2 linked regions of the Drosophila melanogaster genome follow. The protein of the gene in region 1 interacts with the protein of each later gene in a pairwise test. Each region holds a gene or a part of one and is shown on either strand. Other genes may lie near its edges. The genes, in order: CG7366 and PlexB.

The links.
Region 2: the proteins of CG7366 (region 1) and PlexB interact in a two-hybrid assay, tested with the Drosophila melanogaster proteins (one large-scale study listed by BioGRID).

Annotation. Positions count from the first base shown.
Region 1 is NT_037436.4:8,194,708-8,209,927, forward strand, and holds CG7366 (uncharacterized protein), read right to left. Parts: upstream 7,711-15,220; 5' UTR 7,620-7,710; coding exon 6,450-7,619; 3' UTR 6,371-6,449; downstream 1-6,370. Other genes in the region: MED24 (mediator complex subunit 24), read left to right, coding at 1-125, 183-1,000, 1,144-1,768; NEDD8-conjugating enzyme UbcE2M, read right to left, coding at 2,033-2,176, 2,435-2,736, 2,815-2,914; Dhps (deoxyhypusine synthase), read left to right, coding at 3,585-3,776, 3,835-4,749; CG13679 (uncharacterized protein), read left to right, coding at 8,152-8,160, 8,226-8,576; tut (tumorous testis), read right to left, coding at 15,151-15,220.
Region 2 is NC_004353.4:33,733-50,399, reverse strand, and holds the start of PlexB (plexin B), read left to right. Parts: upstream 1-6,621; 5' UTR 6,622-6,975; coding exon 6,976-7,486; exon of another isoform or gene 7,487-7,626; intron 7,627-9,114; coding exon 9,115-13,884; intron 13,885-13,942; coding exon 13,943-14,526; intron 14,527-16,667. Other genes in the region: ci (cubitus interruptus), read left to right, coding at 1-2,406.

The sequences.
Region 1 (15,220 bases):
TCCAGTGCAATGAGAACTCCAAGCCGGTGCCGGGCGACCTGGGCAAGCTATGCGTCATCCGGTCCACTCTGTTTGATGTTTCCTTCCTAATGTTGACAAGCATTGTGCAGACCTATGGATCCGATGTTCGTAAACCCGCCTGTTATTACGCTGCAATTTTAATGAATTCTATTTTACTTCAGGTGGTCTTATCTGAGCGTGGTGACTCATTTTTTGAAAAATGGGTGCGTGAGTGCATGGTGGAAAGGAATAAGCTTAAGAATCCGCGTCAAATTCTTGCCCTCTGTGATGACAGTATTGTCGACGAGCTTTTGCTTAGCTTCAGTAAACCAGAGGCATCACAACTTAAGCCAAACAACTTAAGTTGGCAGGAGACTTGCCTTAATCTGCCCGGAGTGCTTCATCATGTGCTAATAGCTTGGGAGCAGGAAACGCTATCCTCGGCGGACGTTAAAAGTATTCTGGACAATATTAAGAGAAGACTTTTCAGTTTTTCCGTTTGCGCCACTAGTTTTCTATGCGCCTACATGTATTCGGTGAAGGAAACGGAACTTCTGAAACCACTAAACATGATTCAGCAGTTCCTGGCTCCGTTGACCAGCGAAGAGCTTTCCAGCCAGGAAAATGCCAAGGAGCGACTAGCTCTCTCCTATCAGATTATCAGAAAAATGCAACACGATGTGCATCCTGCCCCAAGTACCAAGTCCCGCCTCATTTCACATTCCCCGCTAGTCGAGCAGTTTCGGGAGGTGTGGCGAACAGTAGTCGATGCTGGTCACCTGCCCGTTCGCGCCGCTCAGTCGTTGGAGTCGCTTCTGCTAGCCGGTGGCGCGGCGTGGCTGTCCACGCAGTTGGTGGAGCAACTGCTGGCCTGCAAGTACACAAGGGATATGTCGCGAACCATGGACGTTGTGTTTGCCGTAATGCATCTCGACATTGAGAAGACCACTGAGGCGTTGCTCCAGTACGTGGTGGCTCCACTGATACTGCGACGACAAGGGTAAATACCAATATTTTCTTCTGTATATTATTTCATTTATTTATTATCTACAAATCGAATCGATTTAGCAAGAAAGGATGTAAAAATTGAAACTGCTATGATAGAACTCGTACTCACAATTTGGCAATCTTTTTTTTTTCTAGTGAGGACATTAATGAGCCCCAATCCCTGGTACTGGCCCGCCTCTGTGTTTACTGTATTATTTCCTGCCTGGAGAGCCGCAAAGGAAATGGCACTTCCGCTTTGACGGCCATGAAGAAGCGATCGAGATCTCACGATGACGAGGAACTGGCGGCCAATGCAGCCAAAGTGCGCAAGGTGATTGGCGATGGCAGCGACAACTCAAGCGACTTTACGGACACTACGACCGGAGCTGGCCTGGCAGCATTATTGGGCTCCACTTCCACATCTGAACTGCGGACTACGCCGCTTACTCTAAGAGAACCACTGCAGACGAGCGTGCAGCACATTTTCGCAGTGTTCCTGCAGTTTGTCAGTGGAGATGAACTGTCGCCCAAGGCCGTTTTTGTTTATCAGTTCATTTCGCTGCTGGTGGAATGCGGTGGTGAGAGGGTCGCTCCCGTCCTGCGCTTGCTGCCCAACGGCCTGGTGCAACAGCTCCTGAAAGTTTTGGTCACCGACGACATAAAAGTGGGTCTCATCAGCAGACTATACGATCTGCGAATCCAGGCAGGAAGACTGTCCGCTGTGTCTGATCTTTGCCTGTGGCGAAATATGCAGATGGCCAGGCACAGCATTCATCTGTGAGGGATTTGGATGATTGCCACATTGGGTATGCCGATTATGATTAAGAGACGGGTGGGCGAAATTGCTAAATGAATTGTATTAAAAACTAGAAATTGGTGACTTGACTCGGCTTCTTCTTTGCACGCAGTGGATTTTGTTTTCGTTTATTACAATAATTTGTTGTCGCCGATGTTCGTCTGTGTTTTGCTTCATCTTCTTCAGTTAGCGGGTGTAGGGGGAGGTGTATGGACAGGCTTAAAGTAAGAGACCTTGCGATTCCCTATATCACTTGAGCAGACAGCACTCGAAGTAGGTCTCGCCCACACAGCCACCACGCATCGCCTTCTTTACATTGTTCTCGAACTGACGGCGGTTGGTCTGCAGGACGTCGGCCGCCTCCTTGTTGAGCGGATCCTCGGGATTGGGTTCCTGGAAGCAGTTAATTTGGATTAGTAATACTGTTGGCTTGGGTAATAACAAAAATAGAAATAATGATCGTTAAGTGGTATAAACAAACATTTATATTGAATTGTTTCAGTGGGCGTTCAATTAAGCACACTTAGAAATCAATTGTTCACAAAACAAGACATAAAAAATCAATTGTAACTTGAAAACTGTGGCTGTTGATCAAGACTTATGGAACAAAGCGTATAGCCTCTAAAATAACACAAATCACGAAATACAAACCAAGAATAGAAACTGCAAGCCATAGACGATGGAGTTGATGTTCAGCACTGGATTCCAGTCCTCGCGCAGAATGTTGAGGCAGACGTTGCCATCCAGGTCAATATTGGGATGGTACACCTGGGTGGCGCACTTCACCTTGGGCGGCTCGTGCGGATAGTTGGATCCGACGCGGAAATTGAACACGAAGCGCCCGTCTCTGTAGAAGCCCTCGTCGGGCGAGATGATAAGCTTGAAGTTGAGCAAGTCATTGGGATCGGGAAAGTCTGTGGCGCAAGTGTTTGGCAGGTTCAGTTCGTTAATATCTGGGGGGAGGAAAACAGCCCAAGATGGATAAGTAATAAGCGAGAGTTGATCATACCAGGTGCTGGATTGGAGACTACCTTTCTGTATGCGCAGCTGGGCGGCGGACGCTTTCTTCTGCTGACTGCCCTTTTGCTCGCCGTCTTTCTTCTGCTGCTTAAGCGTGAATAGTTTAATCATCTTGGCGTCCTCGTCTCGCTGGCGTTTCGTCTTCCGCGTTTGGCTGTGCTCGAAAGTTTCTGGCTCTCTGGGGGGCTTTTGCTGCTTGAGGGACAGGTTGCATTGTTTGAAATGTCAGTGGTTTAAGGGCAATTGTTTCACTGAATCTTTGGCCTACCGTTAACAATAGAACTGATGTAAAAAATCACTTCGAGTGCTTTCTATCCTTTCCTTGTTTCTGCCCAGCGATATGTGTAATTAATCGATGGTTGCACCCGATAACAGTCTGCTCGATAGTTGTTGCGTAGTGCTGGTAAGCGGACTTCGGATTCAGCGGGATTCAAGCCAAGTTTGGATACTTCGAAACGAAGAAAATTTTAAAACCTAAATTTTCGACATGCAACCGGTGTCGTAATATATTTGAAAATCATCGTCATAATTTTTTTTTTTAAATATATATATTAAATATATTTATTTAAATTAAACGCAAGTCTTTGATAGCTGGTTTTTCTTACTTCGTTCCATAACTACGTAAAACTTTGCAGATAAATTTAAAGAAATATTTGTTAGCTACTTTGCAAACCACATCTCTATCGGAAACCAGGGCTGCCTTAACCAGCACATGTTGATTAATGCATTACGATTGGGCTCCCCTTGAGCTGTTTATTTTGAATTTCAACAATTTCTGATTATGTCGACGGAGCCATCGGTGGCCAAGGATGCTGTGCTGAAGCGCAGCGAGGCTCTGGCGGAAAACACGCCCCAAGTTAGTGGCTACGATTTCAACGAAGGCTTAGACTACAGTAAGCTCTTCGAATCCTATGTGAACACCGGGTTTCAGGCCACGAATCTTGGCCTGGCCATTCGGGAAATTAACAGAATGGTAAGTTAGTAACTTAAATACATAACTACGATATGTTACAAACCCCTAACACTGGCAGCTGGATTGCAGGGACCAGCCATTGGAAGCGGACCAAATAGACAGCCATGAAACAGACGACTTCATCCGTCGAAGAAGCAAGTGCACCGTATTTTTGGGCTACACATCCAACTTGGTTTCGTCCGGACTGCGAGAGACCATTCGCTTTCTGGCCGAGCACCGTATGATCGACTGCATTGTGACCACAGCTGGCGGCGTCGAGGAGGACTTCATCAAGTGCTTGGCTCCCACGTTCATGGGTTCATTTGAGCTGAGTGGCAGGGATCTCCGCGAGCGTGGAATCAACAGAATTGGCAACCTTCTGGTGCCGAACGATAATTACTGTAAGTTCGAGGACTGGGTGATGCCGCTGCTGGACGAGATGCTGGAGGAGCAAAAATCCCAGGGAACTATCTGGTCGCCGTCGAAGATTATTCATCGGTTGGGCGAACGGATTGGCGATCCTAGTTCCATTTACTATTGGGCTGCCAAGAATCAAATACCAGTCTTTTGTCCCGCCTTGACGGATGGCAGTCTGGGCGACATGATGTACTTTCACTCCTTTCGACAACCTGGACTCGTGGTGGACATTCTGTCCGATCTGCGGAGGCTCAACACCATGGCTGTCAAGGCGGTCAACAGCGGGATGATCATCGTGGGCGGCGGCGTTATCAAGCATCACATTTGTAATGCCAATCTGATGCGCAATGGAGCGGATTACTCAGTGTTCATTAATACTGCCTCGGAGTTTGACGGCAGCGATAGCGGCGCTCGACCGGATGAGGCTATATCGTGGGGCAAGATCAGGAAGGATGCCACCCCTGTTAAGGTGTATGCCGAGGCTAGCTTGGTCTTTCCGTTGATTGTGGGTGAAACATTCGCCAAGCGGCATCACTGCGCCGGCAAAGAGCTGCCCCGAGAGACTAACCAAGTGTAAATATATACGAGAAAATAAGGACAACGCAATCAACGCAAATGTACAGATGTAACTTATTAAGGAATGGTTGGGCCGCAGATGGGTCGTATTGCGAGAATGGAAGTCCCCGAAGTGTTATGCCCCGCCCAGATGCAAACTGTCCGGGCAGGAAGCCATTAAGCGTCGTCGGAGTTGTTGGCTGCAAGTGATAAACACCACCGGCAACAGCAGCAACAGCATTGCACTCCGGCACCTCCAGTGGGCCATGCACATTCCGCCGTAATAGTGGTTCTGCTGCTGGAATCGCTTTAGTGCCGCAAAAATGCAGCTTTTACCGGCGGTCACAGATGCTATATTCCTCGTGGCCTTAGTTTTATACGAATATTCCCTCAGTTCTGCCCATAATTGTTTGCGAAGTTCGCTCTCGCTGGCAGGAAATCGTCCGCCACGGAACAGTGCATCCGCATAAGCCCACGAAATTTGTCATTAATTTTATGCCACTAATGTAAGCGCTCGGCTTCCGTCATTTCTTCAAAATTTTTCTCCCTTTTGGCCAACCAAACTTTGGCTTGTCTGCACGCATCATTAAAGCCATGCGGAAACTTTTTCGCGCACTTACATTTTGTCCCCTCCGTTCCGGCTTCTACGACAGTTGGCACTACATATTTTGAGCTATTGTCAGGATGCAGTTGCGAAAGATGGACTGGCTGAAAGTTTTGGGGATTGCAGAGGCACTGCATTTTCTTTGACAACTTTTTCCCGACTGCTAGCAACTTTTTCTGTGACTTTTGCCTGGCTTTCTTCGAAAATGAATGGTTTTTTGGGAATGCGGCGAGGAAAAACTATTATGTATGTTCTTTGGCGTATGCATGGCAAGAAATGTTGGCTTTATCAAATTTTCGAAATTTATACGCTTTTTTAAGGCCGCTTGAGATGTTTCGCTTTTAAAAGTTTTCCTTTGGGAATTAAGAAAATTAAAAATCCTCTTAATACTGAATAATAATGTGGCATCAAAAATAATTTATTTCTGAAAAACTTATGTTAGCTGCCAAGAAAATCAATTGCACTTATTGCACAAGCAAAATGCCATTATCGGCAGTCAGCCGTCGTTAAGAAGTGCTTAACTGCATGTTGTCATAACCATGGCCAAAACACACCCACGCACACGCACACACTCTATTTGGGCCCACTTAGGATATATATGTATGTATATCCACCACCACATACTCTTTCGAAGCGCTTAAAAACTAATTACGAACAAAGCTGTTGCTGCGCTTCCTACTTTGTTGTTTTTGGCTGCGTTTTCTTTTCCCATCCTCGCCGGATGAAGAAATGGTCACTACACTGAGGAAAATTAAAGAAATTATATGTATATGTTATATTATTTTTACAAAATTGTAATACAGTTTGTATAGCCTTGGGAAATTGATTTAAATTAAAAACCTTAATTATAACATTAGGCACTGATGTGATTAAAACCAAACTTTCCTCGCGGTGTAAGTGCGTAGATGATTGCCGACTTTCCAGGACTACAGCCAACTTCCCTTCGTGATTACGAGAAAATTAAAACTACATTAAAAGTTTTGCCGTTGACAGGGGCGCAGGCGGTGAAAAGTGCGAGGGGGGAGGCGTGGAAGTTTTTAAAGCAACTCAACGATTTATTGATGCCAACAGGAAAATAAAAATATATATATTTATAAAAGTGTGCTGTCGCTAGAGGATTACCATTTGTCTATGGACATATCGCTCAGTGCGTCAGATAACTTCTCCAGATCCACGACATCATTGGTTTTTTCACCTTTGCTGCTCCTGCCTATGGGATCCAGAGGTCCTTTTCTAATGGACATTTCTTTCAGACATGAGTCACACTTTAAGTTAGTGGAACTGGGACTGCGTTGGTCATCGGAGGAAAGTCCTGCAACTGCCAGTGTGGCGACGGCCTGGTGCCTCCAAATGAAATTCTCTCGACGTTTCAAGTCCTCGGCTAGAGCGCGCAATCTTTGGCGCTCCAACCTTGTGGATTCCTGTAATCGTCGCACCTTGTCCTCCTTCTCCTTCAGGTCGTTCTTTTCCTGGCACAAAATTTGGTCATATAGCATGCGGACATTGTCGTCCCTTCGCGAGCAGGCCCGTTTCACCATGGCATTCAGAGTATTCTCGAAACTGAGATCCAACTCGGAGATCTGCAAGCTGGTGATCATATCGTTCCGCAGAAAGGGCTCCAGGCAGGTGGTCAGAAAATTGAGTCGCACTGACTCGCCTGGCCATTTTTTCAGAAGCTGGCAGGCCGCACGGCAGGATTGATAGATACCCTCCTGGGGAAGTTTCGTTTTGGCCAACGCCGACTTCTCGGCAATCTGCTTCTCCAGAATTTGGCTCCTGCTAAGGTATAGCTTTTCCGCTTCCACCGTGCGACAGTGCAGCGAGTCGATTTCCTTAAGCAGATCCTGGTTAGACCGCTTAATGCTCTCGAACTCGGGCGTGGAAATGGGATAGGGCACCCCAGGGGAGAAAGAACTACTGCCACTGCCATAGTTGGAGACATTGGTGTCCGAGTCCTCAATATCTTCAACCGGCGACATTTGCCCCTCCTCCACAGTAGTCGTCCCATGGTACTCGTTCAGCAAATCGTCCATGGGGCGACTCAAGTTCTTCAGTTCGGTGAAGGGTTTGCTCAAGTGGCCAAGATCTCGCAACTGTTCGCACATCATCAGCAGCATGCAGTTTCGTGCGAATTTATCCAAACCCTTGGCGTTTTGGAAGTGCTGCATCCAACGCTGACTTATGTCGTGGTCATCTTGGCTGACAGGGTGCTCCTTGGAATACAACTGCAGGCTGCGCAGCTCGGAGGCAAAGTGGCTGTCCAGGGCGAACTCGCTTAACTGAGTCATTCTTGGATGCTTTTTTGTAGGTTTTTGAAATTTTAATTTTATATTTTTTAGATTTTTTGTGGGTTAGAATTTTGTGATAGGCGGAAAACGAACAGTTGATCGAAAATGTTACAAATATATAGAAAATATACTGCTACATTGATATTTTCGGATACCAAATGATAGTAATTAATTACTCATTATGAAGCATGCTGAAAGAATTGTGATTTAAATTAATTAGAGTAACTGAAACCGATTTCGCTCAAGGTCGTTCGGGTCTAGGAAACCCGGCAATGCCCTTTACGAATTCGGTCCGCACGTGACAAGTGTGCGTATGGAGCAACAACGTCTTCAACTGGCCAGTAAGTTGGATCGGAGTCAAAGACGTTGTGCTGCCATGTCGACGACGACAGCTGCATGTGTAAGCGCGGCCTTCGCCGGATGACCAAGTGGGTTGTATATAAGCTGGCCAGCTGGGTTAATTCAACATCAAACCTAGCTCACAGCTCCCAGTAGTCACTTCTACCAAACAAAGCACCAATCAACAATCAACATGAAATTCGTAAGTTCATTGATTATCTTAAGGATTGATGGGATCTATTAATTAAGGAGTACTTCTGTCTATAGATCGCCGTCTGCTTCTTCGCTGTTGTGGCTGTGGCTGCTGCCAAGCCTGGACTTGTGGCTCCTCTGGCCGCCGCTCCTCTGGCCTACACCGCTCCGGCTGTGGTGGGCAGTGCCGCGTACGTGGCTCCCTATGCCTCCAGCTACAGCGCCCACTCGGTGGCTCACAGCGCAGCCTTCCCAGCTGCCTACACCGCCGCCTACACCGCTCCCGTTGCTGCCGCCTATACCGCTCCAGTGGCCGCTGCCTATGCCGCTCCCATCGCTCCCTACGCCGCCGCCTACACCTCGCCCCTGGCCTACAGCTCTCCCTATGTGGCCACCGCTGCCGCTCCTCTGCTGCTGAAGAAGTAATTCAACGGACTGTGAATCCTACGCCTCAATAACAAATTTTTAAATACATGATTTTAAAATCCACTCGCTATGGTTTCAACTCAACTCAACCTTTTAACCCCTTAATAATCGCGGGGTCTGAGTTTCCGTGCATTTTTGCCACCTTTCGCTGCCTTTCGTTTGCCTTAATGGCACAAATACCGGAAATACCTGCGAGGAGCCAACTGCCATCGTTTCCAACTTCCTTATTAATTTCTCGAATGCTGCTTTGGTATTTCTTCAGCCCGCCTGCCGCCTCTCATAAATTGCGCAAATTCCTCTTGCGAGCGTCAAAGAAAAATGTCATCGGGACGACGGTGGTGAAGAGGTGTTGGGTGGAAGTCGAGTGGAGGCGGCTCTTGTGGCCACATCTAATTTCTCTGTATGTCTCGAGCACGCTTATTAAAGTATAAATCATTTGATGACTGCCTCTGCAAAGTGACCAACAAATACGTCACAAAGAAGAAGCCGGCAAACGACAATCAGCTCAAAAAGGAAAGAAGAAGTAAATGGGCGAGGTCCTGGGAGCCGAAAGGACTGCACTGCCCGGATGGTTAGCCAAAGTACATTATAGTCCTTGGTCGGCTGCAGGCGGCAACAAATGTAGCAGAAAACCGCAGCCGAGAGTAGTGCAATTAAATACAGGAAATAATGGCCACCGCAGCACTGGCAGAGGCAAAAGCAGGAGCCGCTGGATGCTGGTGTTTTGGGGGGTGGATCGCTGGTCTGGCGGGGCACAGGAAACGACAGGATGCAGGAAACGCTCGCACAGCATCTTGGCCAGACCCAGACCAAATTTAGAGGCGGAAAGAAAGAATCTAGCAACATGCAGCCAGATGGAAGCCGGTGAACGCTATTATGTAGACACATTAAACAAAGATGGCCCAGGGGAATGGAATCTCAGAAGCGACTGGGTCGTACTTGCGGATATATATCTCTTAAGTATTTTCTTGATGGATGACTGCGGTGCAATTAAACCGGTTAGGTACAATGCAGTGGGCAAATAATGTCACGAGGAAATCTAATAACGAGTAAATCTATTTATTTAAGTGTCAAATAATTTAGTATCAAAGATAAGTGAAAGATAATTATAACTTTATGCTGAGGTAATTTAAACTGTGGAAGAGGTATGGTATAAAGAGCCTTTTAAGACCCACGTTGCCCTTTATAATATTTATTCATATGCCACGTAAAGCTTAAGAAGCTTCTATCAAGGTGCCACTTACAAGGCGGCCCTAATGTGCTCTTTACATGGTGCCTCTTATACGGTGCCCCACACAATGCGTCCCCTACAGGATGCCCTGTATAAGTTTGCCCGCCGAACTTGAGCCGTAAAAGGTAGGGTACCATATTCCCAGCAGGAATAGCATTATTTGCATCCGGAGAGATTGACTTCTTAATGTTGCGCATTCCAATCCGAACCGCACACACTCTCACAGAGCCAACAACTGACTGCGGTTTTCTGTGTCCTGTTCCTGAGAAGGACTGCTAACCGGACATGTTTGCGGAGTGCGAGTGTGTATGCGAAATATTTTATAATTCAATTTTCAATTGGCAGGTTTGAATCCTTAGATATGCCCGCACATCCAGAAACTACACAGATTCTGCGAGAGCATGTACATACGTAGAATTGCATGGGTTGTCGGGCTCTAATTGAATTCAATGTGCACTTAAGCGACATCCGTTCATAATGAAATTTCGCAACAGAATTGTGGCAAGGACAAAAGAGTCGGTAAATATTGTTGCTATGCTAATGCAAAGTTGCTGCCTCTCCTGCTTGTAGCATATATATGTACATGTATATATATACATATATTTTTTATTGCACCATAAATAATCGGAAATCGGAGATGGAGAAAGTCACAGAGAGTGCAGCCTGGCAACGGAGAAATTGAAATTAAATTGCCGTTCGACCGAAGGAATCCGATGCCAGGAGCCAGTGCCAAAGCATAGCCATCCATATCGTACATACCGCCATGGGTATATGGCAAATACATTTCTATATACTTTTCGTGCATTTCAGCCCGTCCTGTTTTATTTCATTTGACGTTTTATTTCGCACTCTGCAAATAATCGATTGTCCGTCCGTCCGACTCAGTCAGTCAGTTGGTCCGTTTGACTCTCCATCGGAATGGAATGTTAGCTAAAGTATGAGCAGCTGCTTCAATATTGCGCATAGAATTTCACAATTTCGCACACTGCAGGAAAATCGAGCTGGGCAATTTTAAATACGGTCAATTAGCAGTTTTAAATTGACGCCCACTTGCCACTTAAATAAGTTGATCACATTAAATGTCAAAGGAATTCAATTATAACTTTAACTGAAATAATTCATGTGATACACAGTCGATTACTTTGGTAACAAACTTATAAATGTAAATGTTTTAACAATTGAAACAGAACTAATTTAATTATTAAAACTATTTTTTTTAAATAACTTAACACTTCACAAATTGAGTTAATTTTTATAATTAAGTTACTACTTGCAGTTTTAAACTATCTAGCCAACCAACTTGGGTTTAATCTCTTTGCACAGTGTCCTGTGCACAAGTCAATATGCGTTTGATTGTGTGTTGCGTAAAATTCCTTACGATTGACTTGCCCTGGCGTTTTATTGATTGATTTGCAATGCCACGAGCGGCTGACAATCAGCTATCAGCCACCATTGGGCTTCCGATGGAGCAACAGCCTTAGTTCAGCTCAGCTCACGTTGCGTATGCGTAATATTGTTATGCCACATCCTTGCACGCTCCTCCATGGAAAGTTTGCACAAGAAATTCAAGCAATGATCAAGTGTACATTTTAATGAAGCCGCCTCCGTACTCGTTCTCGTATATATGTATGTATGTAAATACAATAAATTGCGCACCGAAATCAACTCTATTGCATGCCAATTTCCGGACCAAAAATATGAGCGATTTTCATATGCTTGGCAGTGGGGAAAAGTTTTTTCATTAAAATTCTCGAATGGTGGCAAGTGGCAAGTTTGGCCAGAGAAGTGGGTAAAAGCCCAGCTGGGCTAAGTGAGTGCAAAATGTTATTTTATTGTCAACAAGCAAAGTTGCCACAACCACTCCGAAGACGAAAACCAGAGCCGCACGACTTGTCGTGGCGGATGTCAAATTTATTTAATATGCAGCATAAACAAAGCAGCCAGGACACGACGACACGCTCGTAAACTCATTTGCCAGCGGAAACAACAGTTCCCACCGGCTGCTGTTGGCAATTTTTTAATACGACCTCAAGGACCGACTTCCTGCTCCAAGTCCTGTCTTCATTCGCCTTATGAAAAGTAAATATTTTTGCGTTTTCTATATGTATGTATATCCTATTCGGACAGGGTAACGCCCACAACTTTTTTCATTAATTTGTATAATCCAGAGTGCTAGTCCCAAACCGAAAAAAAAAGAGAAAACCCTAAGGAAGGCATTACGTAAAAGTCAATAAAAGTGTTGTTTTAACTTCTGACACTTTTGGCCTTCCTCGGCACTCATTGTCAACTTCTGCTTTCAACGCAGCATCTGGGGGAATTTTCATAATTTTTGGCTACAAAGTTGAATTGATTAATAAAATATGAGCTGATGGGTAAGGGAAAGTTTGTCAAAGAATATTACAAAAAATGTAATTCTTTAGTGCTTGTACTGAATTGTTGATAAGTGCTCTTCAAATCAGAAGGATGGTTATTAAAAATGTTAATGCAAATCGTTCCAAATTGAAATGTGTTTTAAATAAAATTTAAAAATATATATTTACTTTATTACAATTATATTAGCAAACATTTTTAGCATTTTGTTTTACTCTATTGCAGAGCATTGACTTAATGGAACTTTAAACATCCTGTTTGTTTGTTTTAAATGATTGTTAGCTTGTAATTGTAAGTTAATGGACTTGCGTTTACTTTTCATTTAAAACAAAAACAATTGTTTTGATAAAATATTTTAAATTTGCTGGCAACGAAAGTTAATCAGGGTTTTTATGCTTGCAGCTGCAGCTCTTCATCATCATTTATGAAAACATTTCAGCGTTTCAGGTCTGGTTAACATGCAAATTTAATCGGCAAACTAGTTGCTAACTTTTTAAAGACGAACCAAAAGCTCATATTGAATTCTTTCCATCCGCCAATCATGCTTCGTACTCCATCTGGTTAAACCAAAGCCACCGGAGAATGGAAATGATGATGGGGCCCAGAAAAAACAAGCAGAATCATCCATATTCATGATGCATGTCGGTAATGGCATTTCCAAGCCAACGACAAGTTGCTTAAAAAATCATCCAAAAATTCGAGTTAAGTGCTAGAGGTTTGGCGGCTCCTCCCATCCCCTCCCCACCCCTCATCCACATCCTCAACCTTACCACATCCGCGTCCGTATCCAGTGCCACAAACTCCTCCTACGTTCTCCTCCGCCACATCGCTATATCATGCACATCTGTCATGCTCTTTGCTGCAGATGCGGTTAGAGAAATGCACGAAAATGGAAAAGGGCCAGGAACGGAACTAAAACTGCACTCAAAAAGCTGAAAGCGGCAAGAAATTGGGTACAGGCACATTCCCCTTAAAGCTTGAACTCAATATGTGCATAACTTTCGCTTTCCGGCGACAGAACCCCCCCAATCCCATTCCTTTGCCTCCTTTGTCCCAGGCAATCTGTGACCCAAATCCAAGGACCGACCGCTTTAAAGCCTAAACAAACTGTGTCAGTTGGCAGGCACTCCCACTTGCTCCTACTCCCCCACTTGACTTTTGGGCCCCAGTACCGCTCCTTCGACAACACTATACGTCCCCCTTATATTCTTTGCCGCTCGCATCGAAAGGCAAATATTGGCACTTGCCGCAATAACCAGGTAAGCTCTGGCTGAGTTGCCCTCCATCGCAGACTCGAAAATGGGTCACACCACAGTGGTGACCAGGAAAGCAGGGGCACCACAATAAGACTATCATGTAATATATATATTTTATATCTCTGTTTTTCAAGCATGTAAAGTACAATTCTTATGGTTACCAAGATCTTCACTATTCCGATAAAATAAAACGTATTTTAACTTAACTTTGTTTTTTCATTGGTTTCGCGAATTTTAAGGATATAAAAAGTAAAGGAAACTATTGTTTGGCTCCCATCTGTAAGTTGAAAAACGGATGACTTTATGATGGCAAGTAGAGCAAAATTAGAAGCAAACTTCGAGCCTTTGTAATTGCGTCACAGATGCGGCTTCATGACTTTAACCCTTCGACGGCGAGCGGAGGAGTGCTTTGCGCCGGGGATTGCCAATGGGTTAAGACTCGTACAATCCCTCGCATGGCTTTGAAATTTTAATGGGCTTTAAGCGAGTGAACAGGGGCGTGGCTGTCGCGCTTGAATTAACAAATTAATGCAAATGATTTTGGAAAACATTCAGCTCGGCTTGTTTTTCCCTGAATGCCCCGAGAGGATGTCTCGACTTAAGCTTAATTCAATGAATATTTATGAGGCTTCCAGAATATGCCAGTCGCTTCTTATTTTTGCATCATCATGTTACGGCTGCATTTCGATTTGAGGCTCTAATTTAATTGCAACCGTGCAGAGCTGAGCAGGACAACAACATCCGTTTCCGCCTGCCACGACATCCCGTCAAGTGCGGCAATCGCATTAGAATGCGCAGCGGACCTGTCCCTCGCACCTCGCGTCCTGTGCATCCTTCGCCTGACGGATGTCTTGCGCTCCCTCCACTCCCGTCCGTCGATCATTGCACTTTGGAGACCCGTAATCTGGAGTCAGACCCGGTACCCAGACACCGTGTCCAACACAATGCCAGCCGGAGGCTAGCGTCGACTCCTGCTCGCTGCACTCATTTAATTGCATTATGCCGCAGGTTGTCGCATTGCCCTGAAAGTCCTGGCTGCCACTCCGCCACTCCAAAGACACTGCATTAATTTGCATGTGAAAAACTGCAGCTTCGCTGCGCTGTCGGTGTTGTTTTTTTTATTTTTTTTTATTTTTATGGCTGCTCGCTGTTTTTGCCCAGAGTTAATGAAGTCAACAAGCTGCGGCTGCATTTCATCAGAGTGAGAAGCGGCGGGCCAAAAGGATTTGCCAGGAACAATGCTGTGTATAATTTCCCCCTGTCCTAACAACTGGTGAAAGTTTATGTTACATTCGCATGGGCAGCAACATAATTTACTGCCCAGAGAGCCACAGGAATTCCAAAATCCGCTTGGTTAGTTTTTTTTTAAGGTATAGTATGCATTCTAAAAGTGATTTGATATTTGGCTTTAAAATTTCATTAAAAAATCAGAGATTAACTTTGCAAAACACATATTCTTGTTTTCAAATTCCACGTATTACAAAAACTTACACAAATCAAGCAATAAACATCTTCATTCATATCTAAATGGTTGACTTATTTAAGAGTACTCTTATTTTACTTATAAACTTATTTAACAATAGAAAAAATATAACTAAAGTATTAAAGTATTTTATACATTTTCGTCCTACTTACGTGTAGTACAAACAAAACATTTGGAGCCTTATGGATTTGGTAGCATGAACCAATAAAGTAACATACTTGATACCACTTCCATTTAAAACTTGAAACAGCCCTTTTGTCTGGGAGGAACGCGTCGAGTACGATTTTGGCTTACTTCCCGTTGA
Region 2 (16,667 bases), on another chromosome or scaffold:
AAACATGTAAAAACAGTCCATGGAGCTGAATTTTATGCAAATAAAAAACATAAGGGGTTGCCTCTAAATGACGCAAACTCTCGGTTACAACAAAACAACAGTCGGCATAATCTTCAAGAGCACAATATCGACTCAAGCCCTTGCAGTGAAGACTCACATTTGGGAAAAATGTTAGGCACGTCTAGTCCTAGCATTAAATCTGAATCAGATATAAGCTCATCAAACCATCACTTAGTAAATGGAGTTCGAGCATCTGACAGTTTGTTAACATATTCACCTGATGATCTTGCTGAAAATCTTAATTTGGATGATGGCTGGAATTGTGACGATGACGTGGACGTGGCAGACCTACCAATTGTGTTACGTGCTATGGTAAATATTGGTAACGGAAATGCATCCGCCTCGACTATTGGAGGTTCTGTTTTGGCTAGGCAACGGTTTAGAGGTCGTCTTCAAACTAAAGGTATAAATTCAAGTACGATTATGCTTTGCAACATTCCAGAAAGCAATCGTACCTTTGGAATTAGCGAACTTAATCAGCGTATTACAGAACTGAAAATGGAGCCAGGTACTGATGCTGAAATTAAAATTCCTAAGCTCCCAAACACGACCATAGGAGGATATACGGAAGACCCTTTACAAAACCAAACAAGTTTTCGTAATACAGTATCGAATAAGCAAGGAACTGTTTCCGGATCGATACAAGGACAGTTTCGTCGCGATAGTCAAAATTCCACTGCAAGCACTTATTACGGTAGCATGCAAAGTCGTCGTAGCAGTCAATCATCCCAGGTGTCTTCTATACCTACCATGCGACCGAACCCCTCGTGTAACTCGACTGCATCCTTTTATGATCCCATTTCACCAGGGTGCTCACGGCGCTCTAGCCAAATGTCAAATGGTGCTAACTGCAATTCATTTACTTCCACATCAGGACTACCCGTATTAAATAAGGAATCGAACAAAAGCTTAAATGCATGTATTAATAAACCTAATATCGGGGTTCAGGGTGTTGGAATTTACAATAGCAGTCTACCCCCACCTCCATCGTCCCACTTAATTGCAACAAACTTAAAGCGCTTACAGCGGAAAGATTCAGAATATCACAATTTCACTAGCGGGCGATTTTCTGTTCCTAGTTATATGCATTCTTTACACATAAAAAACAACAAACCAGTCGGAGAAAACGAATTTGATAAAGCAATAGCGAGTAATGCACGACGTCAAACTGATCCAGTGCCAAACATAAACTTAGATCCATTAACAAATATTTCTCGGTTCAGTACAACACCGCATAGCTTTGATATTAATGTCGGAAAGACTAATAATATAGCATCGTCAATTAATAAGGACAATTTAAGAAAGGATCTGTTCACTGTTTCAATTAAGGCTGACATGGCAATGACTAGTGACCAACATCCAAATGAAAGAATAAATTTGGACGAAGTTGAAGAACTTATACTTCCCGATGAAATGCTTCAGTACTTAAACTTGGTAAAAGACGACACAAATCATTTGGAAAAAGAACATCAAGCTGTACCTGTGGGGTCAAATGTATCCGAAACTATAGCTTCAAACCACTACCGAGAACAATCAAATATATATTACACCAATAAACAAATTTTAACACCGCCTTCTAACGTTGATATACAACCAAATACAACAAAGTTTACAGTACAAGACAAATTTGCTATGACGGCGGTCGGGGGTTCATTCAGTCAAAGAGAATTAAGTACCCTAGCTGTACCAAATGAACATGGGCATGCCAAATGCGAAAGCTTCCATCACCAGTCTCAAAAATATATGAACACTGACATTGGCTCCAAGCAGCAATCAGCATTACCGTCAGCTCATCAACGGCAAACAGAAAAATCAAATTATAATCAAATCATAGACTCATCGATGACTAGCTTGCCAGAACTTAATGTAGATTCAATATATCCACGAAACGAAACAGAAAATATATTTAAAGTACACGGAGATCATGATAATGAAATCCAATGCGGCATTATAAGTCAATCTCAAATGTCACCTTCCACTAATTTGAATAATGATGGTCAGTTTTCTACCGTAAATATGCAACCAATAACAACATCCAAATTATTTCCCCCTGAACCACAAAAAATAGTTTGTGACACCCAAGCGAGTAATACTTCGGTTATGCATTTAGATACATATCAGCGTACTCTGGAATATGTACAAAGTTGTCAAAACTGGATGGAGACGAACAACACATCTACCAATCAAATACAAAGCCTCCCGGGAATGCCGGTAAACAATACATTGTTTCCCGATGTTAGCAGCTCTACACATCCATATCATGGGACAAATATGGTGATCAACGATATGACTACATCCCTTACTTCCTTACTCGAGGAAAATAGATACCTTCAAATGATGCAGTAAAAAATGTTATCTAGCTAACACTGACAAGAAATCAGTCATAATAAACTATTTTATTCTATTTAGATTGTATTTACTTTATAGGCAATATACCAATTACAAAACAAAATTAAATTAAAATCCTGATTCAACACTGTAATATTTTTTACAAATGTCCTTTAATCAAGTTCATTTATTATTTTACAAAAACGAGAATTTTATTTTAAATATTCTAAATACATGTAACAATATAATGTCTTCCGAGCTATTTTAAACATTAAAATGCAATGATTATGCTCTTACTAAATAATTATTTTTATTTATTTTAATTTATTTTCCCCTTAATACCGGCGTAAGCCCTAATAAGCCTTAATACCGGCGTAAGCCGGTATTACAATAATATTAATTATGACGCCACTAACAAAAAAGGCGTTGCATACTCGTGGGCTTATATTTATATGGCATAATTAAAATTATAAAATAATGTTTTATATATTCGGTAAGGGGGCATACATATTTGTTATTTCAAATTCTAAAAGCATTCCAATCCCTTACCGAAAAAAAGACACTACAATAACGAGATGCGTAACGTCATAAGATTTTTTTGCGCACGATTTTTTCGGTGAGGCTCTAGATGTGGCTCCAGGCTCTAACGAATTTTTGTTCAAAAGCGAGAGAGCGGATAGCTCTACAACAAACAGCTCTTTTCTACGCATACAGTGGCAGCCGAAAACTTTATGTGTGCACACGTATGCTCATGCATTGTATTGCCCTTCATCTTAGAAGTTCTTAATCTTTCAATCTATATTATGTTTGATCAATTGGCACCATGTAAAAAATTCTTGATTTGCATTGCCTTAATGTTATTATTATTTAAATATAGCTTGAAAGTAGTAGTTGCCGAATCTATGTACATAGTATCACAAAATAAATTTTAAAAATGACTTTATATTAGAATATAGGCCATTAGAGTATTCTGCTTGCGACATGTGAATTACAATTGCAATGGCCTCCCCGTGTTGTCCCGTGGGTACCGATTATTACATATATTACATATAATTAATTATTAACATAAATATAAATATGTAAACGGTAGCTAATTCAAGAGGCGATTTTAGCAAACGAATATAAAAAAACTTTAAAATTATAATAGTCACGGCGTGAATTTTTAATTATTATTTTATTTCATCATATACGATACAAAAATGGCGAATATCCATTTCTTGTTTCTTTAAACAAAATTGATTTCGGCCCGAAAATCGTCTTCTAGCACAACTACACACACATACATATATCTATTGTTTTTACTCACACAAGCAAGCAAATTCTATTTTTAGATTTCTTATGCTCTCAGCGTAAGCGAGGGGACAACAGAGCGCAATTTTGAAACCAATGTATGGCCGTTACGCGTCTTGTTATTCCAGTGTCTTTGACCGAAACCTACAAAGACAGAACGCTATAGCTTATTTCCTCGACTAACAGATATCTCTTACTTAGACAGTAGGAGTAAGAGGTCGAAATTTCGGATTATGGATTAATAAAATATATGTATTTTAAATTACAATTTTATAGCAGTTCGATCTGTTTCAATTACCTTAAGAAACCCCTGAATATTTTAAATTTTAATTTCATTTTTTGAAATATTTTTTAAGGAATTTAGAAAAAGAATAAAAGGTTTAAAAACTCAAGTAGACGTTTCATTTTGTATTTAAAAAGCACACACTTAGCTAATATTTTAATTGATTTTTTAATTATAATTGGTTTTTGGTCAGAGTGTTGTTTAGTTTTTAAATAAACTTCTTTCGATTTAATTTTGATGTATGTATGTTGCCCCTTGCATTCTTCATAATGGCTGCCTTTAGTAAATATATTGGTCATTGTACTATAATAAATAAATATAATTATGTGTAATATAAAAATAACACATTTTTCGTCATGATTCTTACATTTTATTTTCACTTATATATGTTATGTTGTCTTATATTTTTTATTAAAAGTTTATTTTGTAGTGTGCTCGATTTTTAATCCAAAACTGTGTTACATAATGAGACGTATTTTTAATTACAATGAAGAGGATCAAAAAATTAAAAGATTACCATTCCTTTTTCGGAGTAGACAATGTCACAAGAGCTCGTGCTTAGCATTTGTTGGGGTCAATTGCTTCCAATTTTTAAAACCAACGAATATTTAAATATTTTTTTGTAATCAGAAATTTATCAATAGATTCTACATGACCTTGCTTAATTATCACATAAAGGAAAATATTTGCGCGGTTTAAGAGCTGGAAGTTCCTAAGTTTACCATTAACCTTTTTATTGATATTATTTTGTTTCGCTTTTTAATACTGCATTCTTAGCTTCACGGCAGCAGCGTTGCCAATGTAGATTTTTTCCTACTAGAATAAAAAAATACAGAATAAGCAATCATTTGCGTCATTGTGAGTTGTGAGTGCAAACCAACAAAACTGGAAAGGTGGAAACTAATTTATAAAATCAAAAACGTTTTCCCGATGACAAGCGATTTGTTCTTAGCTGGGAATAACACTATTATAATAATAATATTATACTTATATAATTCCTAATAATTTGCTCCAAGCATACATTTTTTTTTTTGTAAAAAGAAAATTAAAATTAATAAAAAGTAAGTAAGTAAGAGCTGCGTATCATTGTGCCGTTTGATATTCCAAATTCCTAATAAATTATTCTCTTATTGAGTTGAAAAATATCCATGTTTGTCATTATATGTGTTGTAAAGATTATAGACAGTTTAAGTGTACACATTAACCTCTTTGGTCAATCTAATCTAACTTTTTGGTAAGAGATGGTTTATCTCTTTAGCATCTCTTATCGCAGCATTTTCTGCGGCAGGTCTGGTTATGTTTCGAGTGTTCACGTCGGCTGTTAACGGATTTTTGATACATTGTTGTTATGTGTAAACAGTTCTATTTATGTACTTGTACATGTTGCACAGCGCAAATATTGTCGATTAACCATGGTTTCCCGTGCTAAGTTTCGATGTGATGCCAACCAAGTATAAACTAAAGATCCTGTGTTATACCAAAACGAATTCGGCGTTGTCAAGATCGATGTTCCCGATTGCTCTTCAGTTCACAAAGAATTTTCACAGTAAATAATGTGATAGCAGCATAAGTTTCATTAACTATCGCTTTGAAATATAGTCGGTTAACCGAAGTACACCCTTGCAAAGTGACTACACAAATGGATTGATGAAGCATTTTTATAGGGGTCAATATCCAATGCTAAGTGTTGAAAAAAATCCACAAATAAAACTTCAATATCTGTAGTGGTTCCCTAATTTAACTTATATATTCGGAGAATAAATGAAATTGTATATACATATGTACGTATGACAGGATCAGAAATCTCTCTGAGAATATATAAAAATCGAATCTTCAATTCAGTCAAAATTTAAAACCCACCGATATAATCTATTTAGTGATACTTATTTAACTAAGTGTTAATAATTTACAGGTCTTAATGACGGTTGGTCTTAATTTACAGTTGTAGAGAAATTCAATAAATTATTAATAAGACAATTGATTAGCAAAATAGCCATTCGTTGGACAAATTTTCCAAAAATTGTTGAATAATAATAATCAAATTTTTTAAATTTATATAATTTTAATAGTAAAAAAGGTACATAAGTAAAATTAGTATAAGTATATACATAAATAGTCCCAAACACTACGTGGCGTTGAAGCCTCCATGCCATGAGAAACCCTTAATGAAATAATTTAACATTAAACATGTTATGATTTTAAAATAATTTTATAAAATTTTAGCCATCGTGCCACATAAATCAATGTTGTTCAAAACTTTGTGTAGAGATAGGTGGGTCTGTAACACTCGAATCAAAAACAATATTAAGATAAAAATAGCGCGCACGGCAAGTGTTGCATGGAAGAAGATGAGATCAATTTAGATTCTTTGGAGATTGCTCTTTTTAACGCGACTACCATTTCATTGATATTATTTTACAAAAATGTTCCTGGAACATTTTAGACTCCATCGGTGGTGTCTTCTTTCTTTTTTCTTTTAACATTAGCCAATTGATTGGATGTGGAATCAGAACTGAAAACATTTAAACGATATCTACATAAATACTTCCGAGGTTTTTAATGGTAAGCTTCCCTTTAATGTGCTCCTTGTGAATACAGCATTACAATGCCCTCTAGCTCGATAGTTCAATTTGTATGCGATAGGCTGATACAGCCGATACTAATAATCTGCTCTAGGACTGATAGTGTACACACAACGTTTGAGCGTTGCCTAAGAAGTTTTTTTTAAATAAATATTTGTTTACATTGACTAATCGATTTTTTGTGTTAAACAACCTTATAAAAAATGCGCTAAACCTAAAATAGCCAAATGGATCATTTTAATTTAAAAATATTTATGCACCTACAGTGAATCAGCGGCATATAAAATTAATTCGCATTAAATTCAATCGATATTAAAAAGTTTATATATTAAGGAGAGAGAATGTAGAGCTAAATAATAATAAAAATGACATATGGGGAATTGATGCCCAAACTCAACTACAAACTGATCATACACAAAACCACAAATAAATATGTTGCGAAAGGAATTGTATTGTGCAAACATTATACATGTTTTACATGTACTGTGTATTATTATCATACTCGGTTCTCAGCATTATTGCGTTAACTGCATTGAAGAACTGCCGGCTCAGGCGTTATCTCCCTTAAATGACATAGTCGCCCAGTTTAACTTGCCATCAATACCAGTTCAATCAACAGCTTCCAGCTATGGCAATCGATCAATTGGAAACAATATAGAAAGTGTTAGAGACTCTCAATCTAAAAATTATTTTACTCACATGAGCTTCGACTTTATGCACAATGTTTTGTTTGCGGGTGCTACAAATAAAATACTTAAACTTAACGAAAACCTTCGAGTGCTGGCCGAGGCTGTTACTGGGCCGTTACATGATTCCCCGCAATGTCACGCTGGAGGCTGTCCGGAAGATATTGAGACATCGCTTGTCAATAACTTCAACAAAATTCTAGTAGTAAGCTACGCTCACGATGGTATTCTCATAGCGTGTGGAAGCATTCGACAAGGTAAAATAGCAAACACATATCAAAATAAAAATAAAATACTTAAGTCGGCGACTTCGTATGGGACCGAAACTCCTGACATATCGTATTGGTTTATAGAAGTTATTGGTCATTTTTTGTAGTCATCGTAGAACAATGTCGCAGTGTTTTTGAGCTCCACATAAAAAAGCGGCGAATATAAGTAATTATTCAAAAGTGCGGAAGGAATATGATGATAAACAAAACAGGATTTTAAAATGTTATAAATTAAAAAATCTATAGTTGAACTCTTGAAACAATTTGGGTAGTATTAACGTTAAAGTATTAAAATAAAACAAGATAATATGCTATAGTCAAGATCTCCGATACTCAGCTAGTGTGAATGCGAACTCGAAATCGAAATTTCATCATTTTTCTGGGATATCGATAGATATTGGGGAATAAAAGAAGAAACAATTTGAAAAATGTTCAATAGTGTGGGCGTGACCGGTTTGGCGGCTTTAGGGAGTTAGAGTAGGCGTGGCAAAAAGTTTAAGCAACTAATAAAATTAAAAAAAATATTCTAAAATGTTTGCAAAAATATGGGCGGGCAGTTTTGGGCATAATATTACTTCAATCATGCGATGCGAATCGTCTTTAAAATACTTTTCAACGAATCAGTTAACAATTTTTACTGTTCCTGAAATCAATTCTGATCGAATAAACGAATTTACATATTTGGTAAGTTTTGGCCAATTTCGTAGCAATATGATGAAATTGCGCTCTTTTTTAGGAATATCAAATTGGAATATAACAAAAAAAAAACTGAAACTAAACAACTGAATCTAATGTGCATTTTAAATAATAAAAATGGATCATTTTATACATCATATTAAAATTAAAAAAATTTCATAAAAATAATACGTAGTAGAAAATAAAAATTTTTAACATAAATAAAAATATGAAAACTGTTTATTGCAAGTCATATGTATCTTGAGGCACGAAGTGCGGACACAAGCACTCAACAATCATTGCCTTATTAATTTTTCACACGTCGAAAGCTGAATACTCTAATGAATATAATAATATTATAAAGTCATTTTTGAAATTTTTTTTTGTGATAATATGTACATAGGTTTGACTCTTTCTAATCTATTTTCAAATAATAATAACGTTAAGGCAATGCAAAACAAGAATTTTTCGCATGGTGCCAATTGATCAAAAATAATATAGATTTAAAGTCTATGAACTTCTAAGGTGAAGGGCATATATTGTCAAATTTACAATGCATGAGCACACGTGTGCACACACACAGATGTCTGGTATCACTGTATGCGTAGAAAAGAGCTGTTCGTTGTAGCGCTCTCCGCTCTCTCGCTCTCGAACAAAAATTCGAGAGAGCCTGGAGCAACCTCTAGAGCCACGGCGAGAAAATCGTGGGCTAAGGACAGGCAGACGGACATGAGTAGATCGACTCGGTTAGTGATCAAGATCAGGATTTTTGATATTTTATAGGCTCGGTGACGTTCCGTTCTACATGTAGTATACATTTTTACTTTACAAGTTACGGGTATATCAAGTCCAATGGATACTATGACTTAGGTGTTATATTTTGTCCTTAAAATAGGTTTTAAAAAATTCCGCGATAGTAATAAAATTATCTTTATTTTCAGGAGCCTGCGAAATTTACAGCCTGCCACGTTTTCCGGCAACGCCCCAGTTTTTTGCAGTTCCATTGGCTGCTAACGATGAAAACGCGTCTACATATGCATTTGTAGGTCCGGCGAGATATGCGTGGAAAGAAGAGGATATTTTATATGTGGGGACAACATTTACGAATGTTGGTGATTATCGTCATGACGTGCCAGCCATTTCGTCCCGCCGACTTGATGATTTAAACTATGCTGAATTTTCAATACAGCAGTCAATTATAAATATCGATGTAAAATATCGGGATCATTTTCTAGTCGATTATATTTACGGCTTTAATTCTTCTGAATATGCGTACTTCATAATTGTTCAAAAAAAATCACATTTAGCTGATGAGGCCGGTTATGTAACACGCTTGGCACGCATTTGCATTACAGATCCTAATTACGACAGCTATACTGAAATAACTGTTCAATGCACTGCAACTGAAAACAATGTTGACTACAATATTGTAAGGGATGCGAAAGTAACTCCAGCCAGCCACAAATTGGCGCAAAAAATGGGCATAAAAAAAGACGATCACGTTTTAGTAACGGTTTTTTCGCCCTCAAGAGAAATAAGTAATCAGCCAGAAAGTAAGTCTGCTATGTGTATATATAGCATTAAAGATATTGAAGACATGTTCATTGAAAATATCCATCTGTGTTTTAACGGAACCACAAAAGATCGAAATTTGGGCTATATATCCGGCACCATTAATGATGGCAGATGTCCAATAGTTGGTTCGCTCGGTAACATTTACAACTTTTGCTCTGTGGGACTTAAAATAAGCGGAGTATCCCCAATCACTGCACACGCACTTTTTCATTTTGATAATGTTTCAGTTACGTCAGTCACAGCAACTTCAACGACTGATCAGCAGCATTCTCTTGCATTTCTTGGAACGAACATGGGAGTAATCAAAAAAGTTTTATTATCTGGCCAAAGTCCGGGCGAGTACGAGGAAATAGTTGTGGATGCTGGAAATCGTATACTACCAAATACAATGATGTCGCCAAAAAAAGATTTTCTTTACGTACTTTCTCAACGAAAAATAACTAAGCTTAGAATCGAACACTGTTCTGTGTACACGAATTGTTCCGCTTGCTTAGAGTCTCGGGATCCTTTTTGTGGATGGTGTTCCTTGGAGAAGCGGTGCACTGTACGATCAACATGCCAGCGAGATACATCTGCGTCGAGATGGCTTTCATTAGGTAGTGGACAGCAATGCATAGAATTTGAATCTATTATCCCAGAGAAAATACCAATTTCTGAATTATCGCACCTGCATTTAATAATTCGAACTTTGCCCGAACCTTTTAATGCAAAATACCGATGTGTTTTTGGAAATTCCACCCCCATTGATGCCGAAATTCTGGAAAACGGACTCGGATGTGCTACTCCCCCATTAGATGAAAGACCATTAATACCAACAAACACTGATCATATTTTGGTGCCATTGTCAGTAAGAAGTTCGGAGACAAATAAGGATTTTGTATCAAGGAATTTTGCTTTTTTTGACTGCTCACATCATGGAAATTGCCAGGAGTGTCTACAAAGTTCCTGGGGTTGCAACTGGTGTATTTTTGATAATAAGTGCGTTCACAAGTCTTTGCAATGCCGTAACATAGAAAATGCTGTAAGTACTGTTGGTCACTGCCCCCACTTAAAAAAAAATCGTCCGGAAATACTTCTACCCGTAAGAGTGCCAATAGAAATTCGGCTAGAGATTGAAAATTTACCAAAACCCAAGAGCGCACATGCTGGTTTTTTATGTACAATACATATTGAAGCTGCTCAGATGCTACTCCCTGCTCACGTTGAGTCAAATAAAATTGTAGTTTGCGAAAAAACACCATATTTCTACGAGATTAATACACATGAATATCAGGCGAAGGTTGTAGTTACATGGAACTTCCAGCATTATGTGGACACCGCAATTGTTACATTATACAAGTGTGACGTGTTGGGCTCCCATCGGGAACACCCTGATTGCAGTTTGTGCGTAACTCGAGATCCAAAATATAAATGTGCTTGGTGCAGCAACTCATGTGTATATAATGAAACTTGCATAGCTGATAAAAATTCTATCAGCTCAGGATCTAAATCCGCTATAGAAAACGAGTGCCCATTACCACGGATTGATATTATTAAACCATTATCTGGGCCAGTCGAGGGTGGAACTCTTATTACAATTGAAGGAAGTAATTTGGGCATAAGGGAGGAAGATGTTCGTGGCAAAATATTTATTGGTTCTGTGCCTTGTGAACTAGAAAATTATCAAATATCGGTAAAAATTGAATGCCGGACTGGAGCATCACTGTACGAAATGTCTGCACCCATAAAAGTTGCAAATGATGCAGGGTTTACTGAATCAAGTGTTCAGTTTCATTTTAAGAATGTGCTGTTAACAGGTTTATATCCCACAATTGGCCCTAGGTCGGGAGGGACACAATTGTCTTTAATTGGGAAGTTTTTGAACATTGGCTCAACTATGCGAGCATTTTTAGATGAGTATGAGTGTCATATAGATGTTACACAAGCTTCATCATCCCAAGTTAGTTGTACTACATCAGAAGCGACCCAACCTGAACCAATACGGTCCCTTCATCTAGTTATTGATGGTGCGAACAGAACGCTAGAATGCCAGATCTCAACCCCAAGCATTACCAATACAAATCCGACTCGAAGTAATTTTGGTTCTTATCAACTCCGTTCGCTACCACGGCAACCCTGCTCTATTTTTAACTATACACAGGACCCGCGTATAATGCAAATTAAGCCATTGCGTAGTTTTAAAAGTGGTGGTCGAGTCCTCACCGTTCATGGAATATATCTTAATTCCATCCAAAAACCTGAACTAGAAGTGTTTTATGACAATGAAAGAGTAAATAAAACATCTTGTGTGGTGATCAACTCTAATCAAATGGAATGTCCATCTCCTCCTGTAAATTACAAATTTGAGACTTTTAAAAAGACGAACAGAAAGATGGATACTGAATTGCACTTACAAAATTCTTCGTTTCAAACTGAAACCAGGTATAAAAATGAATATGATAGAAAAAAGCGGCGAGCCGACTTTGGAGACACTTTTCGCTTATACACAAATGCAGGATCTTCAGCCAACTATTTTGTTAACAATAATATGGACGTCACCACATTCGTTAAGGTTCATGAAACTCAATTAAACTTACAACTAAGTTTTGTAATGGACAATGTACAACTAGTTCGAAACTTGAATAAATATTTTCATGACATAAGGAGCACTATTGTCTATTTAGCAGACCCAAAATATTTGCCATTTCCCAACGACGGCGTTAAACTCTACAAGGGTGACAGCTTGGTCATAGAAGGCGAGCTATTAAACTTGGCAGCTGATGAGTACGATGTAAATGTAACTATTGGAACTTCCCAATGCAATATTACCAGCCTGGCACTTAACCAACTTTTATGCATTCCGCCGGAGCAACAACCACTTCCAACTGATGAAAATGGTGTGGATCAATCAACTGATTTACCTCTTGTTGTCGTTAAAGTAGGTCGAAATCTTCGTTTTGTAATAGGATATCTTAAGTATGATTTAAATAAACCCTATGTTTTCTCACATGCCTTGTTAGTCGGCATATTAACGGTAGCACTTCTGGTCGTTGTTTTTGTAATTGTACTTATAATATTCAGAAGGAAATCAACACAAGCAGAACGCGAGTATAAACGTATTCAGATACAGATGATTACATTAGAAAGCAACGTACGTTCTGAGTGTAAACAGGCATTCGCTGAGCTCCAAACGGACATGACCGACCTAACAGCAGATTTGGAGAGCACAGGCATACCAACTTTAGATCACGTCAACTATATTATGAAGGTGTTTTTCCCTGGTGTATCAGATCATCCTATTTTAAATTCTCCAAAATTTCGTGAAGGTAGCCCACAGACTAACTATGACGCAGCTATGGTACAATTTGAACAACTGATTGGCAATAAATATTTTTTATTAATGTTCATAGAAACATTAGAAGCTCAACGTTCATCATTTTCTATTAGAGACCGAGTTAACGTTGCCTCATTAATAATGGTTGTTTTAATGAACAAGATGGAATATGCCACGGAAATTTTGAAGTCCCTTTTATTACGTTTGATAGATAAATCACTTGCCAGCAAACATCCTCAGCTGATGCTAAGGCGTACTGAAAGCGTTGTTGAAAAAATGTTGACCAACTACCTAGCAATTTGTATGTACGATTACCTGAAAGAGTACGCCGGATCAAATTTATTTTTGCTCTTCAAAGCAATAAAGCATCAAATTGAAAAGGGTTTAGTGGACGCAATAACCAACGATGCCCGTTACTCCCTTTCAGAAGAACGTCTTCTGCATGAACAAGTTACCCATTCTGTTGTAATATTGCATATTTTACAAGATGATCTTGATGAAAAAGTCCAATGTCGCGTTAACGATTGGGATACCATTTCTCAAGTTAAGCTTAAAATCCTCGACGCAATTTTTAAAAACACTCCTTTCTCTATGAGGCCATCTGTAAACGAAGTAGACTTAGAATGGAGGCACGGCCGAGGAGGTCATCTTACATTACAAGATGAAGACTTGACAACCAAAACCGTTAACGGATGGAAGCGCCTTAACACATTAGCTCATTATGGAGTCAAAGAATCTGCAGTAATGTCACTAATTGCACGTCAAAATGATAATTATCATATACCATACAGTAAAAACCAAAATTCGGCACCATACCACAATTGTAAGTACTAAGCCCAATATCTAAAAATTTTTTAATTAATTGTTTTGCCTTTTTGCAGTTTATTTTATAAACAATTCGCAAAGTCATATTATAATTAATAATGATATCGAATCAGGTTTGCAGCAGCCCCGGGTTTACCATCTTGTTAAGCCCAATATACCTGATCATTATATGAACATTAAAAATTCCGTGTTATCCGGAGGATCACCAGCATTTCAATCGCATGTCGTTAATAATTGTAATGACAGGGTGAACAAAACAATACCAGAAGTTTACCTTACACGTCTTCTGGCCACAAAAGGAACTATACAAAAATTTGTTGATGATTTTTTCTCAATTATTTTAACTGTTAATGAGGAGTTGCCACCTGCCGTTAAATGGCTCTTTGACTTACTTGATGAAGCTGCGCGACGCCATGATATTGCTGATACTGATATTGTGCACGCTTGGAAGTCAAATTGTTTGCCCCTTCGATTCTGGGTTAATTTTATAAAAAATCCGGATTTTATATTTGATGTAAATAAAACATACAGCGTTGATTCCTGTTTAAGTGTCATTGCACAAACATTTATGGACGCTTGTTCAACATCAGAGCACAGACTTGGAAAAGATTCGCCGTCGAATAAGTTGCTGTTTGCTAAGGTGAGTCTAAAATAAACATTATCTTTTTCTATTTTGTTTTAGTATATGCTTAGTATTTATGCGTTTTGGTAATAACAACTAGATTCTCCATATTCTAAACGTTTTCGATAGCACTTAATACTGACGTTTCCCATTTTTTTGGTTTACCCATTATGTTTGTTTGGAAAAGTAAACAACAAAGCGAATATTAATTCTAGCAATACCCTAATGTCGAAAGCGACATTGTACGCATTAAGTCTTAAAAACAAACCTTTTTTTTATTTTCGAAGATGTAGCTCTTTATAAGTTCTATGAATGAATGCAGGGTTGAGTTTCTACGTTTTCAATGTATGCCAAATCGAAATTGTTCTTAGGGTAAAAAAAGTCGAAGCACCTAATTCAACGAAAGGTTATCAAAGATTTTAATGCAACAAATTTTAAAATGCGATAAAATTTTAGTCCTTCAGATAGGGTTTTGCTATACTTTTAATATGTTTGTTTTAAATTATTGTACCCATTACTCGTAGAGCAATGAAGCGTTTCCGATCATGTAAAATATAAATATTCTTGATCAGCATCAAAATCAGCGAGTCGATCTGGCCAAAGACACTAGAATAACAAGATGCGTAACGGCCATACATTGGTTTGGCACTATGCAGCCACTTTTTTGGTGACGGCCAAAATTGCTCTCTTTCCGCTCGCTCACGCTGAGAACATAAGAAATCTAAAAATAGAATTTGCTTGCTTGTGTGAGTAAAAACAAGAGACGAGAACGCGTATATGTGTGCGTGTTGTGCTAGAAGACGATTTTCGGGCCGAAATCAATTCTGATCAAAGAAATGAATTTACATTGTACATATTAGGGTAGTTTTTTGCCAATTTCTAGCAATATGATGAAATAAAATAATTTTTAAAAACTCGCGCCCTTCTTATTATAATTTTAAAATTTTAATTTTAATTTTAAAATTTTTTAATTTTAAAGCTTTTTAAATTCGTTTGTTAAAATCGCCGCTCGAATTAGCTACCATTTACATATTTATATTTATGTTGATAATTATTTATGTGTAATATGTGTAATAGTCGGTACCGAGGGAACACCACGGGGAGGCCATTACAATTGTAATGGGGTCTTATATTTACGTATATGACCTTCGAGTCGACTTGAAATATTTTAATGTTTAACATTAAAACATTTCCACATTCCCCAATTAAGTTATTTTTCTAACTATTGTTTTTTATTATATATTGCTCGATTTTTCAGTCGTCAGTTATTTAAATAACATACTGAAAAACAATGTGCATTTTAAATAATAAAAATGGATCATTATCATATATAAATCATATTAAGTCAAATGACTTAATAAGTATGCTAAATAATTAAAGGAAGTAAAATATAAATTATTATAACTACTTATAACAAAAGGAATACATTACATCGAGAAATAAATATTTCATAAAAATAATACGAAGTAGAAAATAAAAATTTGTAAAATAAATAAAAATATGAAAACTGTTTATTGCAAAAGTCACATCAAAGACACTAGAATTATTCTAGTGTCTTTGTTTTGGTCATATCTTGAGGCACGAAGTGCGGACGGACACAAGCAACAATCATTGCCTTATTCATTTTTCACACCCCGCAAGATGAATACTCTAATGACAAATATTCTTATATAAAGTCATTTTTGAAATTTATTTTTGTGATATTATGTACATAGATTTGGCTATTTCTAATCTATTTTCAAATAATAATAACGTTAAGGCAATGCAAAACAAGAATTTTTCGCATGGTGCCAATTGATCAAAAATAATATAGATTTAAAGTCTAAGAACTTCTACGGTGAAGGGCATATTTTGTCAAATTTACAATGCATGAGCATACGTGTGCGCACATAAAGTTGTCTGCTATCACTGTATGCGTAGAAAAGAGCGGTTCGCTGTAGCGCTCTTCGCTCTCTCGCTCTCTAACAAAAATTCGAGAGAGCCTGGAGCCACCTCTAGAGCCACGGCCAAAAAATTGTGTGCCAAAAAATCGTATGGCGTTACGCATCTTGTTATTCTAGTGTCTTTGATCTGGCCATGTCCGTCCGTATGAAAATATAGAACGTTGACATTAAGCATGGAAGATCCAATACCAAGACGGCCTCTTCAACGCTTAAAAA